Linked DNA regions of Saccharomyces cerevisiae S288C. The protein of the gene in region 2 interacts with the protein of the main gene of each other region in a biochemical or structural test. Each region holds a gene or a part of one and is shown on either strand. Other genes may lie near its edges.

Region 1 (4,549 bases), on a different chromosome or scaffold from region 2:
AAATTCTTCATCCTCTTCAATTTCTTCCTCTACAGCTCGTTCTTCTTCCTCTACGGCAAACAAAGCGAATGCTGCGGCTATTTCCTATGCGAACACTAATACTCTAATGAGTTTGTTAGGTGCCATAACAGCATTATTTGGACTAATTTAGAAGCCCTTCTGAGAAACAATACATAATACATCCTTTCACCCAAAAGGATAATGACAAGTAAATGTATAAAAATGTGTATTAATATGAAAATTTTTTTCCCGATTATCACTCCTCTTTCCGCTATTTTTGGTAGAAGGATGCCTAACTTCAAGGATTGATATATCTTCCTTATTATAAAGTTAAAATGAACAAAGCAAAAAGGTTGAATGGTCCTCAATAGCTTGGCGATGACTTGACTAAGCGACACCAACCGGCCTTCTTTATGTTAGTCAATCTTGTTTTTTTTATATCCTAGTTTATTTGAAACACTATACCTTTAAATATTATAGACAGTATAAGAGATGAGCAATTAATCTCTGATCTTGGCATAACCCTTTGAAATAATAGTCTGAACGCTGTTGCGCCTATTTTCGAGAGCAAAGAGTAAATCCCTCATTACTATACCAGGCTCCTCTCTAGCTTCTCTAAACTTTAGCCCACTTTCTCCTCTAGCCGTGATGTCGGAGGCGACTTTGCCTGAAGATTTTGCTCCCAAGGACGTCGGCTTATTTACTGATGAAGTTAGCCAACCATACTGTTTTTTACTACCTGCTCTAAGGCCAGCCGTAACGTTCGATGCTCTGTGTAACGTCTCTTCGGAATCAATCTTATTTTCATAATCTTCCTTCTCGAGTCCCAACGCAATTCTTTTTTTCACACGCCTTTCTTCTTCTTTTTTTTGAATTAGTGCAATGGCTCTTAAAGCCGCAGAAACTTCACTTCTTCTACCAGAATTTATCTTGACTGCTTTTCTTCTATGTCGGGAGATGACAATGGCATTTGTTAGGATATCTCTCATATAGTTTTCGCAGGCACTTGACATCATGTCCAAAATTTCAGGATTCTTTGTAGGGGTCAGGTTGAAGTTTTGCTCTTTTCCGACTTTCCTCATATAATTGGAAACTTGTTCCGGGTGAAGGAATGGTAAATGGTTGGGGATCTTAACGTTATTTGTTTGAACTTGGGATTTTGAGGCATTAATAGATGAATTTAGAAGAGCCTCCTCCTCCCTAACATCGATACCTGCGGAAAAAAGGACATCTTGCATTTTATTTGGGTCTGATTGTTGTTGTGCATTCTGTCCTGAGGAGTTGGATGCTTTGCCATCTTTAGAATCTGCTTTACTCGTACCCTTGTTTTTTTTTTTATCATCCTTTTTTGGTAGAGCTAGTCCAGCAGGGCTAGAGAACATATTGTTTGTATCTCCATTACTTTCAACTCTCAAATTAGTTGTGGGTGATACATTTTTAGGAAGAACAGAATCATCCGTATTACCTGCCGCATCATTGTGAGTTGAAGATACATGTGCGGTTGATTTTATCTGGCTAGGCGACGGAAGGCTATGTGATAGCTCACTAGCTTTACCTGGTGACAAATTAAATGCTGGTTTCGTTTCTGGGACGGTATGTTGATATTTAGGCGTGTCTGACGCTGATACTCCAGTGCCATCAGATGGCTTTTTCGGCGAATTTGCCATTATGTGATATGATGCCGAAAGACAATATGTGCACTACCAATCGATAAAAGCACTTTAGATTACGTGCAGGTGAGGTTATACAGAATGCTGATTAGAAAAACTTTCCCATTTGAGCTATTACACGGACCACATTCGACTTATCGATGTTCAGTTCATTCACTTTTTCAAATTAAGATCATTTATGACGAATATTGAATACTGGAGAATACACATTTTTAGCGGGCGTCGTTTGTCCGGCATATTATAAGGCTATCTAATCCAAATTATCGAAAGATTTGTTACCTTCTAATAAATATGGGAACCTATAATATCCGAATTAGGCTTCATACACTGTATTTAAAATTGAAAAACAAATAAATAACAATTTATAGTGGTACATATCTTTACTCTATTTACCTAATTATTTCTCTGTTTAGTACGTCAATTACATCTGTTGGATATCCTTCAATAATGTTTTGGCAGACTAAGTGGTTAGTCTTCACTCCGTAAAATTTATTCACGAGAAATCGGCATATCCATGATGCTTGTGACGAGCTTTTCCCACTCATTCAGTTTGAGACCGGCATGGTTGGAGTTCAATTTTGCCCAATCCTGGAAGGCACGTGTTATTAAAAATTGGGTTTCCTGAAAGATTGTAAACTCTTCCAAAATACATTGTCTTATCAACCAAGCTCTGTTTGATTGCTCTATTATGCTTCTTCTATCCTTCTGTATGATTTTTTTTATCCTGTCGTACTCTGCTCCACTGACATCTGGTTTTCCTTTCATCGATTCCAATTTCTCTTTGTTCAATTCGACATGTCTTTGCAATTCAACTACGTTATTTGCAGCCATAATTTTGTATCTCTCAAATAAACTTCTCAAAGAAAGTAAGATGTCCGTGAAAATTTTGAATTTTGGCGATAACGTTCCCGATATTTCTTCTGTTTCTTGTTTGCAGATACTACTCGTAGTTTCTAGGTGTTTTTTAATTATACTCAAATTGTTATTAATGTCCAATATGGTATCATTTTGTTGTACCGGATATAGTTTTGGAGTCACTTCGCTAAAGTTATCCACTAGTGTCTCAAAAAAATTTCTTTCGTGTACCATTTGCATAATTCTTTTTTCATGCCTTTCCAAGAGAAGCGTGATTCTATACCATAATTCCATCGAGGTATCGATACAAGATGCAGCCTGGTTCCATTGTTCTGCAAACTCTTTTTTCCACATTTTCATAAATTCTTGTGATATCTTTTTATCAGCGAATTCGTTTGAAGTGTCATAGGTTGCTTGCTTTCTCCAACTTGTTAAGTCAGTGCGTACGGTTAAAAATGTTAACACTAAATCATCATTACTTAATTTAGGGTGTTTCATTACCAAATTAATGAATCTAGATAACCCTATTCTTCTTTTCTTCAAAAAAAGCTGGTCTGCGTTTTGGGATCCAATTCTTTTGGGAGGTAGCTCAGGGATCATTCTAAAAGGGTATCTTTTCAGCAGAATTTCTCTTAACCATAAGAAATCAGAGTATCTTCTTACGACAGTACGTTCTTCAGAAGGCGAGGTACTTGGAAGAGCAATGAGATGTTTCACTAAATAGTTTGCGTGCTTGAAAAGTAAACCCTCTCTTTCAGGTATCTCTTCAATGATGATGATGTCGGCATCTAGAGGTCTGTATGTTTTTCTAACGTTGTTAGTCCAATCAAGTAAGTCGGCTTCAGATTCTTCTATATTCTGATCTCTAGCATCATTCTTATCTATAACTGTCTCATTGGCCGCTATATTGGGAGTTTGGCTCATGCCAGTTGCACCAAGAGGATTTCTACTATCATCCCAGATACTTTCTTCAAGCACATCGTTGGTCGGTAAAAAACCAGTATCCTCCTCATTTGTGTCCAGAGGTGTTGAAAAGTTCAAGGTGTTAAACTCACCAGAGATTCCGTTGAGGCTGGGTTCACTATTGGTGGTAGAAACGACGTGATCATCATCCTTAGTCCATGCATTAGAACTGGTATTCCAAGGATCACTGCCTTCGTAATTGTCCATTACTTTTTTTTTCGCCTCAGTGGTGTTTTATAGAATCCAAATTCGATTGCTTTTACTATTATTTCTCTTACAACTTGGGTGAAAAGAAGTGGCGTTCACCCTGTTTTCATTGTACCTTCCTTCCTCACTTTTTTTTCTGGCATGTGTTTCGTAAAAGCGCCTACCTTAACCGAAAATGACGGCAATATCGAGATGATCTGGATCAACAATAACTTATTGAGAGCGTAGAGAAAAGTAAAAGTGTCTTAATAAATTATGAAAGAATATACAGTTCAATTAATTACAGTGCTAGAATTATATTTCTAATGGTCAATGGTAGGTTTAGATTCCTGAGGTTCGAGGTTCCACCAAAGACACGATAACATGAAAAATCCTAATAAGAATATTCTATCCCTTGGTTGCAAGTGTGAATGAACGTCGCAGGGAGTTTCGATAACAGGTGTGTTCTGCAGTGAAGAAATATTTTTTTCAATAGTTCTAAAAGTTTTATCACTAACCAATTTCTTCGTGATTTTGATTGGATCATTTATTAATATCCTCTTTTTTTTGGGTTCATTTATCTTCACACTACTTTTTTTATTTGAACATGAATCGTGCGTGATAAGTCTTTGTAGCAAATCTGATTTGCGACCTGATAATTTTAACCCTCTTGATTTGCACTGCTCTTTGAGAACTTTAACTGTAAATTTTTGAAAAGGTGTTATATCGTTATTATTCATTAAAAAGCTCAAGTGGCTCTTCGTTTGGGTGCTATGTACATATCTGTGTAGGCTCACCTTGTAAGCACCGGGCTGTTTCAATAGTAAGGTAAACGGTAAATATAGAGATCTCCCTGGCTCAGCCGCCCGTATGCC
Region 2 (9,590 bases):
TTGATCAAGCCATCAGCACCACAACTGATCAGTTGTTTTTGCTTATTAATAAACGAACATCTTTGAACCGCATTGGTATGACCTTCCAATGTTTTCATAACGCTGAATGTATCCAATGACCATATCTTGACTGTTTTATCACCTGAAGAAGTTGCCAATAATTTATCATATTGGCAAAATGATACATCCCATAGTCCACGCTTGTGGTTGGCCAACGTGGCTTCCAATTCACCATTTTCTAGGTTCCAGATCTTACAGGTCTTGTCGTATGATGCTGTTGCAAAAATAGAATCGTTAGGAGAAACTGACAAAGCATTGATATCCTTTTCATGGGCATGACGAGTATATTCGGATACCTTGATGATTTGAACATCCATACTAGCAGTTGGCTTTGGAATTATCCATTTCTTAATTGTTAAATCATTCGATGCTGTCAATAAAAATTCAGGATATCCCTTTGAAACTATATTTGGCAATCCAACAGCAGTTACGGCAGCTGAATGACCAATATACTTGGCATAAATATCAAACTTGCAGCTGTTCTCATTGTATCTCCAAACAATAGCCGTATTATCTTTAGAGGCGGTTGCGATCCACAGGCCATCCTCAGTAGCATCCAATGAATTTAGCAAATCTTCATGACCTTCATAAATTTCGACATCCAAAGGCAGCGAAGCTTCTGGGCCTGATAAATCGGGGACGGGTATTATCCTAAGCGATGGAGAATTGGTAGCTAAAGCTAATTTATTCAGCTCTGGGCCAACATACCTCATGTCAGCAATAATACCATGATTACCAGCAATGCTCGAAGTGACCTGTATTGTGTCTTCATCATTCTTTAAGTCTTCTTCAACGTTAATTAGTTGTAATGTCTGGTCAGACAATACTAAAAACATCTGTGAATTGCTCAATATTGGAAGTACACCAATAATGAATAACTCTTCTATAGGTTTATTGGTTCTTTTAAGCACGCTACCAGATTCAGAGTCAATTAACTGAAAGATAGCATCACCGCCGGCTGTATAAATTATGCGTTTACCGTCACCATCCTTTAGGAATCCGCATGACTCTACCTGTTGATTTACTGGAAGTGTTTTCAACAATTTACATTTCTTTTTCATATTGAAATCCCAGAGATTGATGATATCGTCTCTACCACCGGAAAGTAAATTTAGGCTTGGCTCATCATTATCTGGTACCTCAATGATATCCAACCCTCTCACAGCAGATGTGTGCTCTTGTAATGTGTGCAAGCACTTCCTTTTAACAAGATCCCAAACCTTTACCATACCATTGGTGTCACCGGATGCTAATAACCATATTTTACTATTCAATTGTCCATAAAACTTCAAACTGGAAATTGTACCACCATGACCTTTGAACGAATGAGTAATGTAACCATTTTCAATATCCACAACAATTATACTACCATCTGTCCCTCCGACTGCGAGAAGCGTTGAAGTGGAATCTGCGTCGAGAATGTACGATGGAGAAGAGATTTTCATTGATCTGACAACTTTCCCGGTCTTAAGGTGAAAGATTTTTAAAAGCTGAGCTTGTGAAACATACGTGAGATATTGACCATCAGGAGTTAATTTCAGTGCAGTAATTTCTTGCTCGTCTTCATTAGAAATCTTGTGCAAAATTTTTCTGGAGCCTGGGGTTAAATCGATTATGTTGATTTCGTCAAGCACCGGAGTAGCTAGTATTTTACCATTTTCTGAAACAGTGGCAACAGCACTGCTTCCTGCATAAATAGGGTTTAACGATATACCTTTATATGAGGTTTTCAGATCCATATTGTACGTAGTATGGCTTACTACCGTTGAGAGTACTATGTTGTTGGTTCACACCTTTAATGCCATACCGCTATTATATCTGAGAGCGATGAGCTGAATTTTTCAGAAAATTTTCAGTCGCTTTACACGGATATATTAAGAAGCTCCATCTTAATCGCCAGAAGAGTGGATGAGGTTATCATCTCAACTAGAGTCGAAGAGTAAGGCAATCCATCAAATGGGGTTGCTTGAGGCTTATTTACTTTTATACGTCTGATTGGACGGATTATACCAGTAAAAAAAATATTGATTGTGTTTTTCTATAAAAATATGCATATATAAGTAAAAAAATAACATGTAATTCTTTTCAACCAACGATAAAGCAAAATTCAGAGTAGAATAAGGCAAAGTCACATACTGATGATGATATTGTAAACGAAAGGTGATTTGATTGTAGTAACCATAAAAAAATGCAAAATAGCTCATTGTAAGACGTCATTGAATTCGAATGAATGGTTAACATCATTGCCCATAATTCCTTCGATATCTGCCAATGCACTCTCACTAAATAAACCATTTTTAGTGAAACGAAGATTTTCAGCCGCTGCTTCCACCATACTTTGCCTTCTTCTCCACATGGAATTACTATTTTCATGGCTTAATGTATTGTCGAATTGCACAGGAGCGGTTAACGATGCTAGGATATCGGCGTCAGTATCTTCGATCACATGACCTTCTTGTGCATCATAACCGTTAATATCACCTACAGACAGTAAGTCATTTTCATCTTTGCCCAAAATCTCATGAATTTCATCTAAACCAACACTTTTTGTTGAATTTTTCCTTGTATTGCTGTCCACGGCAAGATCAGAATTATGAGGTATTAATGACGCATCTTCAGGTGCGTGAGAGGGAAGTTCATTCATAGGGGTATTTTCATTGGTTGTAAAATCGGTACCGGTATTTATGTCGCTATGGCTGTTATTGTTACCGATGATCTCATGGCCATTGATTCCCAATTGTAAATTCATAGTTTCTTGCTCCTTTATTGCCTTTTGTCTTTGCTTTCTTATTTTAAGAAGCTTCTTTTTTTTCTTTAACTGCCTTTTTTTTTCAGTTTTTTTCCGTTGTAGCTCTTTCATCTTATCAATCTTCTTTCTTGTTCTTTCATTACCAATATAGCCAATGGGAACTTTTCTGTTAGAATTTGCTGGTATCATGTACTCATCTTCTTCATAGGCATTAATACCCTTATTTCTAAATGCAGATAATGGAACCTTAGGAACTTCATACCAATCTGCAGCATGGCCATTTGTGCTTTTGCTATTAATTGCATCATTGTAATTGTTCTCCATATCGTCTGTGTGGGATGGTGAATCATCCTCCAATTCACTCATGTTTAGCAGCTCATTGAGTGTCAATTCGTCACCGTTATTGCCATTAGAGCTTCCCTCTCTTTTAACATCTGGGGTTTGAGCCCTTTGATGTTGCTCGCGAAGCTGTTGATGTTCTTGGATTAAGGCGTATAATGATTTAGTAGACAGACCATCAATAATACTAAAAGGTTTGTTGTCCGTCTCCCAAGTACCCAATTTTGGTGGACGTAATCCAACAACATTTGAACTTACGATTTCCTTTGCTTTTGAGCCAATGTTTTTTGACCTTGAACTTGGGGGCGGTAGGTTATCATCTTCATCTGTGGATTCGTCATCAACGTACACAACAGTCTCTAAGAGATCATGTTTGCAATCTTTGGATCCATCAGAATTTTCTTTGTCTGAGTTAGAACTTATCAAAGAGGAAGATCCATCGCTGTCGTAATGAAAGTAAAAAGAGTCTGGATCTAAATCATCGATGTCTATGAACACATTTGTCACGCTGGAATCATCGTCGTCGTCTTCGTAATCGTCGTCCAGTTCTGTGCCAATGTCTAAGCTATCTGAATCTAGTGCCCTCAATTCTTCATCCGTGTCAGCATCGTGGGACGTTTCAGATTCACTGCATTCATCATCTGAAGGCATATGGGCAACATCCAACAAAATGTTATCATATTCATCGTCAGAAGAATCATATTTCCCGGAATTCAGGACCGTACTATGAGTGGATGGTTCCAGATCATCATTGGATTTTATCAAATTCGAGCCTTTATTCTTATGTTCAATATGACTTTTGCCCGATTTATGCCTGCCTTTCTTGCTCTTATGGCCACTATTTTCATCATCTGATTGAAAAAAAACATTGAAAATATACTCATCATTGTCCACATTGGAGGTTGTTCTCGTACTAGGTTTTTGCGTCTTTTTATAGAGCTTTCGTCTTTGTTTCCTTTCTTCCTGTTCCCGTTTTTTGGCCTCTTTCTTTTTTAGTTTAGATAGTTTTTCATCATTTAGCATTAACGGTAAAGATGTACTCAAGGATAGCTTTGGCTCTGAACCATCGCCATAATAATAAAGATTTGCAAATTTAGGATCTTCATAAAACGGCATATCAAAATCAGACATTATTTCATCTTCTTCGTCATCTTCTTCATCATATCCGTTTTCTTGATTGTATTCATTTTGCAAAAATTTATTTTCAGCATCTTCTACAGGATCAGACCCTTCTTCGTGTATACTACCATCGAATGAGAGTTCGTCGTCATTTTGTAGCTCAGAAACAATGTTTTGTTCTTCTTCTTCCAATATGGGAAGATCGTCTTCCCCCGTTTCAAGATCTGTACCAATTTCTCCATGAGAATCTTCATTGTTAATCACGTCAAAGTACGCATCCTGGTCAATATCATATTCAGATTCATCTGACTCTGAAATATTGGGAAATCGTAACTCATCGTTGTTACCTAACATCACCTTAGAATCCAGTTTATCTTCTTCATTACCATTGTTCTCTTTGTTTTTTAAATCCAAGACTTCTTCACCTATATCCTCGTTATAGCCTTCATTACCATTACCAAAACTAATGCCGTCGTCCTCTTTTTTGAATTTAAACGATAGCGCCTGTTGTGTAGTAGTAGTGCCTGAACCGTTTACTTCTTTTTTGTTTGATTCTTGTTGTTTTTGTTGCTCTTCTTTCTCTTTTTCTTTTTCTTCTTTCTGCTCTTCTTCATTTTCTTTCTTAGGGGATAGTTTAACTGATTTATTTTTGTTACTGTTCTCACGAGAGGAATAGAGTGTATTGCTATTTGTATTCATGGCAGATAAAGCTTTCATGGCTCTTTTCTTTCTTTGGGCCGTCAGTTTGACAAAATCTATATTCTCGTCATCAGAACTTGTTTCGCTATCACTATCACTATCACTTCCGTCATCATCATCGTCGTCGTCGTCTTCGTCATCATCTTCTTCTTCTTCTTCACTCTCTTCTTCTTCATTTTCACTCTCTTCGCCATCTGTTACAGCTTGGTAATCGGATGACTCTGTGCCCTCGTCGTCATTGTCTATTTGCCTTTGTATAAGTTTACTTTTTTTTCCTTGGGAATTATTTGAAATGTTCTTTGCTTTTCTTTTAATTTTATGTGGGTTTGTACTTTTGTTTTTATCAGAATCAGATACGTCACTCAAGGATGACTCAGAAGAGTATATAAGGCTAAATCTTCTTGGCCTCGTTGTACTCAGTGTGGGTGGTGATTGCCTGGACTTTGTATCGGATTCGCCCTTTTTTATGAGCCTTTTAATATTTGCTGGCAGTTTACCAGAATGTGTACTATGATTGATCGTACTTTTTCGAGGACTTTTTTTGCCTGCCATTTCGTTCTGTTTCCAGTTTGCCGGTTGTTTTTTCCTTATTTGTTTATTTGCTTCCTTGTTGAATTTCCTTCAATTTCAACAAGCTTGAAAATGAATTTCGTAGAATGAATATTACTATGTTTGAAATGGTTATTGCTTATGATGCTCACCGAAGTTAAAAAAAATATTATAGGTTTGTCCTATGTTAGAATTGTGGAAAGGGAGGAATGTAATAAATAAGCAGTAATTAAATATAGCCTTTTGAAGAGTTCCTCCTTTTAATTTCTTGTAGCAAGTGTTTCGAATGTATTCAAATATTACCAATGATTATACAAATACTTACAGCAAGTCAATTAAAGAGCCGTAAAAGCTAAACGTCAAAACGTGTAAAGCACCTATTATCTAGTCTCTTTTCCCTAGTTGTACTTTAAATCAATTTAGTGATGAGATGAAAAAAAAAAAAAAAAAAAAAAGAATTCCAACGAAAAAGAAACGACGGGCAGGGCAACCTTTAGAGATTTCAATCCGTATAAAGAGATGTAGTAGGCAGTACGGGTAACATCGTCACAATTCATAATGGAACTATCTAGCTTTTGCTTGATTGCAAAGTTCTACACCCGTTGATACTTCAAACATCTTTGCAATACGTAGGTAGGGGTCGCGTACTAGCAGCCTCCTAGTTAAGTGTATCTTTCAATCGCATTACGGAACAACTAGGCATCCCGAACCCCACACGGAAAAATCGGAACAATAACTGAAAATTTCCTTTTTCTTTTTTTTGCTCTTCAAAGTCTCTGCCCCTCTATTGCGTACTCGATTGATTTTTTTATCAAAGGCCATCTCAGACAAGTAGATCTACATTGGAGTTTCTCATAATATTATCACTATCGGAAGGTAGCATAACCTTTAATAGAGTTTCCGCTGTTTGCTTGGCTCGTTTTTTTGTTTGTACTATGCCTATTGGCGCAAAGAAGACAGAGTGTGCAAACAAGAGATGAATCAGAGCGATAGCAGCTTGATGGATTTACCACTGGAGATACATTTATCATTACTAGAGTACGTGCCTAATGAACTTCGTGCTGTCAATAAATACTTCTACGTTTTGCATAACCACAGCTATAAGGAGAAGAGTTTGGCGTGGATAGCTGAGGACAACTATATATGGGCCGTTGTCAAACATTCATTATGTTTATATGTCAAGAGTTTGGACCCACTTCGACAGCATGCCAGAGAAATCATTCAAGAAACGAAGGAACCAGGTTTTAATGTGCCACTGTGCATGACTAAATACATCGCAGATTCTTGGTATATTGTATACAATGCGCTGCAATATCCTGGAAAGATAATTAATATGGGATGGGACAAATATACCAAAAGTCAAGATTCAAATGGTTCTGATTCTACCAGTAACTTTAATAGTCGGCCCAAGGAAAGAACTCTTATGCAGTCGTTGACAGCTTTACCTGTTAACTTTTGGTCCAGGAGGAAGGACGAGCCTACACCGGTAAACGTTTGGTTTTATGTAAAAAATGCGCACGTTGCCAGATACATACCGAAAATTATTACGGAAATAGGCATATGCAACTATGGGCCGAAGCAGATCGTGGCAAGTGCAGGATATATCAACGAATTGATAACATCTGAAGGAATATACTGTGTTAACCTAGGCCACCTTCCCAGGCTATACGATGAGCAAATTTTTGAAGGCACTGGAACGACACATCTTCCCCTGGAACTGAAAGCTATCGACAGGACAGATTCAGATGTTTGTATCAATGGTGATTTAGTTCTACTCGGTTATGACTTTATTCCATATCAGATATCGAAGCCGTGGTTACTCTTTAGAATCGAACCCGTAAATAGCATTGAAGCAATCTTCAACTATAGTGAATGTTCTTTTTCATACCAGTTTGCATGGAGTTTGGCCTGCTTACAATCTGAAGAGAAAATTTCATTTCCTAGAGACACGATAATTGGGCACGGTTTACCTTACAAGCCATCCAAATTGATAAGAATTTTCGTCTACAAGCATCCGGAACAAAAGCAAGATCTTGGTCAAGAAATAGCATTGCCCAACTGGAATACCCCTTATCTTCGAAGATGAAAAAAAAATTTATCAATTAGTCTATAATATATGTGTATATACGTCTATGCACCTACCTACTTATAAATGGATATAATATTCTTGCAATGATGAAAATATGTATAGTCAAATTTCATTTTTTTCAATTGATAAATGTACTTTCAATGATGGAAACTCCTTCATCGTCATCGAATTTAGACTTCTGGCAGAATTGGTAAATGAATGGCTTCATGTTTGCCAGATTTTCAGCAATAGACCTAATGAAAGCGGGCAGCTCACTCATTATATCGTACCTATTGACTAATCTTAAATTAGATTCTTCAAAACCACGCGGAAATGAAATGGATGTAGGATATTTCCAACCATTTTGCTTATCCTCTTTTGTAGATGGAAATTTAACAGCATGATCATTTACACTTGACCCGACCTCCAAAATTTTGTCCTTATCACTAACCGCCCATATAGTCACTGTAGTGCTGCCATATTCTTTTGTTGTGGTGAATTCAATACACATCATCGAACGCTTCTCACCATTGAAACAAAGAAAATTCCATTTACTAGCCGCCTTATTGGGTATTAGCCCCTGGACAGCATCCAGATACAACATAGGCGTGTCCTTCAAGTCCAGCTTCACAGGTTTATCGTTTTTCTTGTATGAGATGGTACCATTGCAAAAACCTCTAGGAACAAAAACATGTCTTATCATTTTTCTGGACGTACTAGAAGAGTCTCTTTTTGCTAACTCTTCCAAGCTGATGCTCTTGTCAAGGTAATAATTGGAACCGTCCGGGTTTATTATGAATCCTTCTTGTAAATTTACGGTAATGTCAACCTTCAAATCTTTTAGTAAACAGCTTGTACTTCCCTTCGGAATATCTATCTTAATTAATAATTGAGCAAATCCACTGGAGGAAGAATTTTCCAAAGGTACGAAGTGAAACGTAACATTGTCCGATTCAACTTTTAACGTATCAAAATCTTTGATATTATCAATTTTAAAGCTTTCCCATATATCAATGTCTTCTTCAGAGTTTTCCTCACTGCTGGCTTTAAATATTTTGAAATTTAACTGAAAACCTTTGTATATACCGCCCATAACACTGGAATATAATAGTTGAATTAATCCACATTTGCCGTTGGTGAGATCCGTAAAATACAGAGTTTGTGTCTCTATTCTTGTTTCCGTTGGATTTCTTACTGCTTTTAATAAACTATGTGACTTGAACTTTTTGTGATTTGACGTCCTGCAAAACCATTCTAGTTTCGATGTATCCTGAAATTTAGTATAATTAGCATGATCCTTCTCGGATAAAACTTCCTTAACGGGGGCAAATTTCGTCTTCTCCTTTTTGATCGCAACCGCCATTTTTTCTTTGCTCTATGATTTTTATGTTAATTAAACTGTTCGTTGCCCTAAAATTTTGAAAATTTCTCGAATATTTAGAGAGAATCCGTCACTATTTTAGTATCTATCTTGTCTATTTATATATAAAATCTCATTCCCCTGTTATGGTTTTTGCCAAGCCCTATCCCAAAAAACCAAATGATACATGATAAACCTATTTATCCTCTTTAACAGACCTATCGTTTAAAGCTTTTTTATTGCAAACCCTATTCATTATGGCTTTTTGACCTAGGTCTCATTGTGACTTCTATTTTTCACTGTTCAGTAAAAAAAGAAAAGTGATTAAAAAGTATCACTATTTCTGTTAGAAAGCAAGTAGCTATTTTGATTGGTAATTATATACACATATTGAAGGAGGCCGTAGTATTTTCGTTTAAAATATATTACAGTAAGATAATGTCTGCTACATCTTCAAGTGGTGACGTGAAAAAATTTCAAGCTGTACCAAAACCAACGAGCAATGCATCACCACCACCAGCATCGAGTGGGTTTAACGCAAGGACCCTATGGCCGGATTTGATAGAAACACCAGAAAACCAGTGGGTTTTTGAGTGCAAAGATATTATTGAAAAGATAGGCACTAATGGACCGATAGCAGTGGAAAT

Evidence for each region.
Region 1: the proteins of IFH1 (region 2) and TAF4 form a complex in vitro, tested with the Saccharomyces cerevisiae proteins (one study listed by BioGRID).

What each region holds. Positions count from the first base shown.
Region 1 is NC_001145.3:273,163-277,711, reverse strand, and holds TAF4 (Taf4p), read right to left. Parts: upstream 1,668-4,549; coding exon 501-1,667; downstream 1-500. Other genes in the region: PLB2 (lysophospholipase), read left to right, coding at 1-151; MVP1 (Mvp1p), read right to left, coding at 2,160-3,695; AIM34 (Aim34p), read right to left, coding at 3,998-4,549. UniProt on the Saccharomyces cerevisiae protein: Functions as a component of the DNA-binding general transcription factor complex TFIID. Binding of TFIID to a promoter (with or without TATA element) is the initial step in pre-initiation complex (PIC) formation.
Region 2 is NC_001144.5:579,973-589,562, forward strand, and holds IFH1 (Ifh1p), read right to left. Parts: upstream 5,519-9,590; coding exon 2,261-5,518; downstream 1-2,260. Other genes in the region: U3 snoRNA-associated protein UTP13, read right to left, coding at 1-1,799; UCC1 (Ucc1p), read left to right, coding at 6,492-7,601; YLR225C (uncharacterized protein), read right to left, coding at 7,723-8,946; BUR2 (Bur2p), read left to right, coding at 9,382-9,590. UniProt on the Saccharomyces cerevisiae protein: Transcriptional coactivator that together with FHL1 regulates the expression of rRNA and ribosomal protein genes. Its activity is negatively regulated by environmental stress.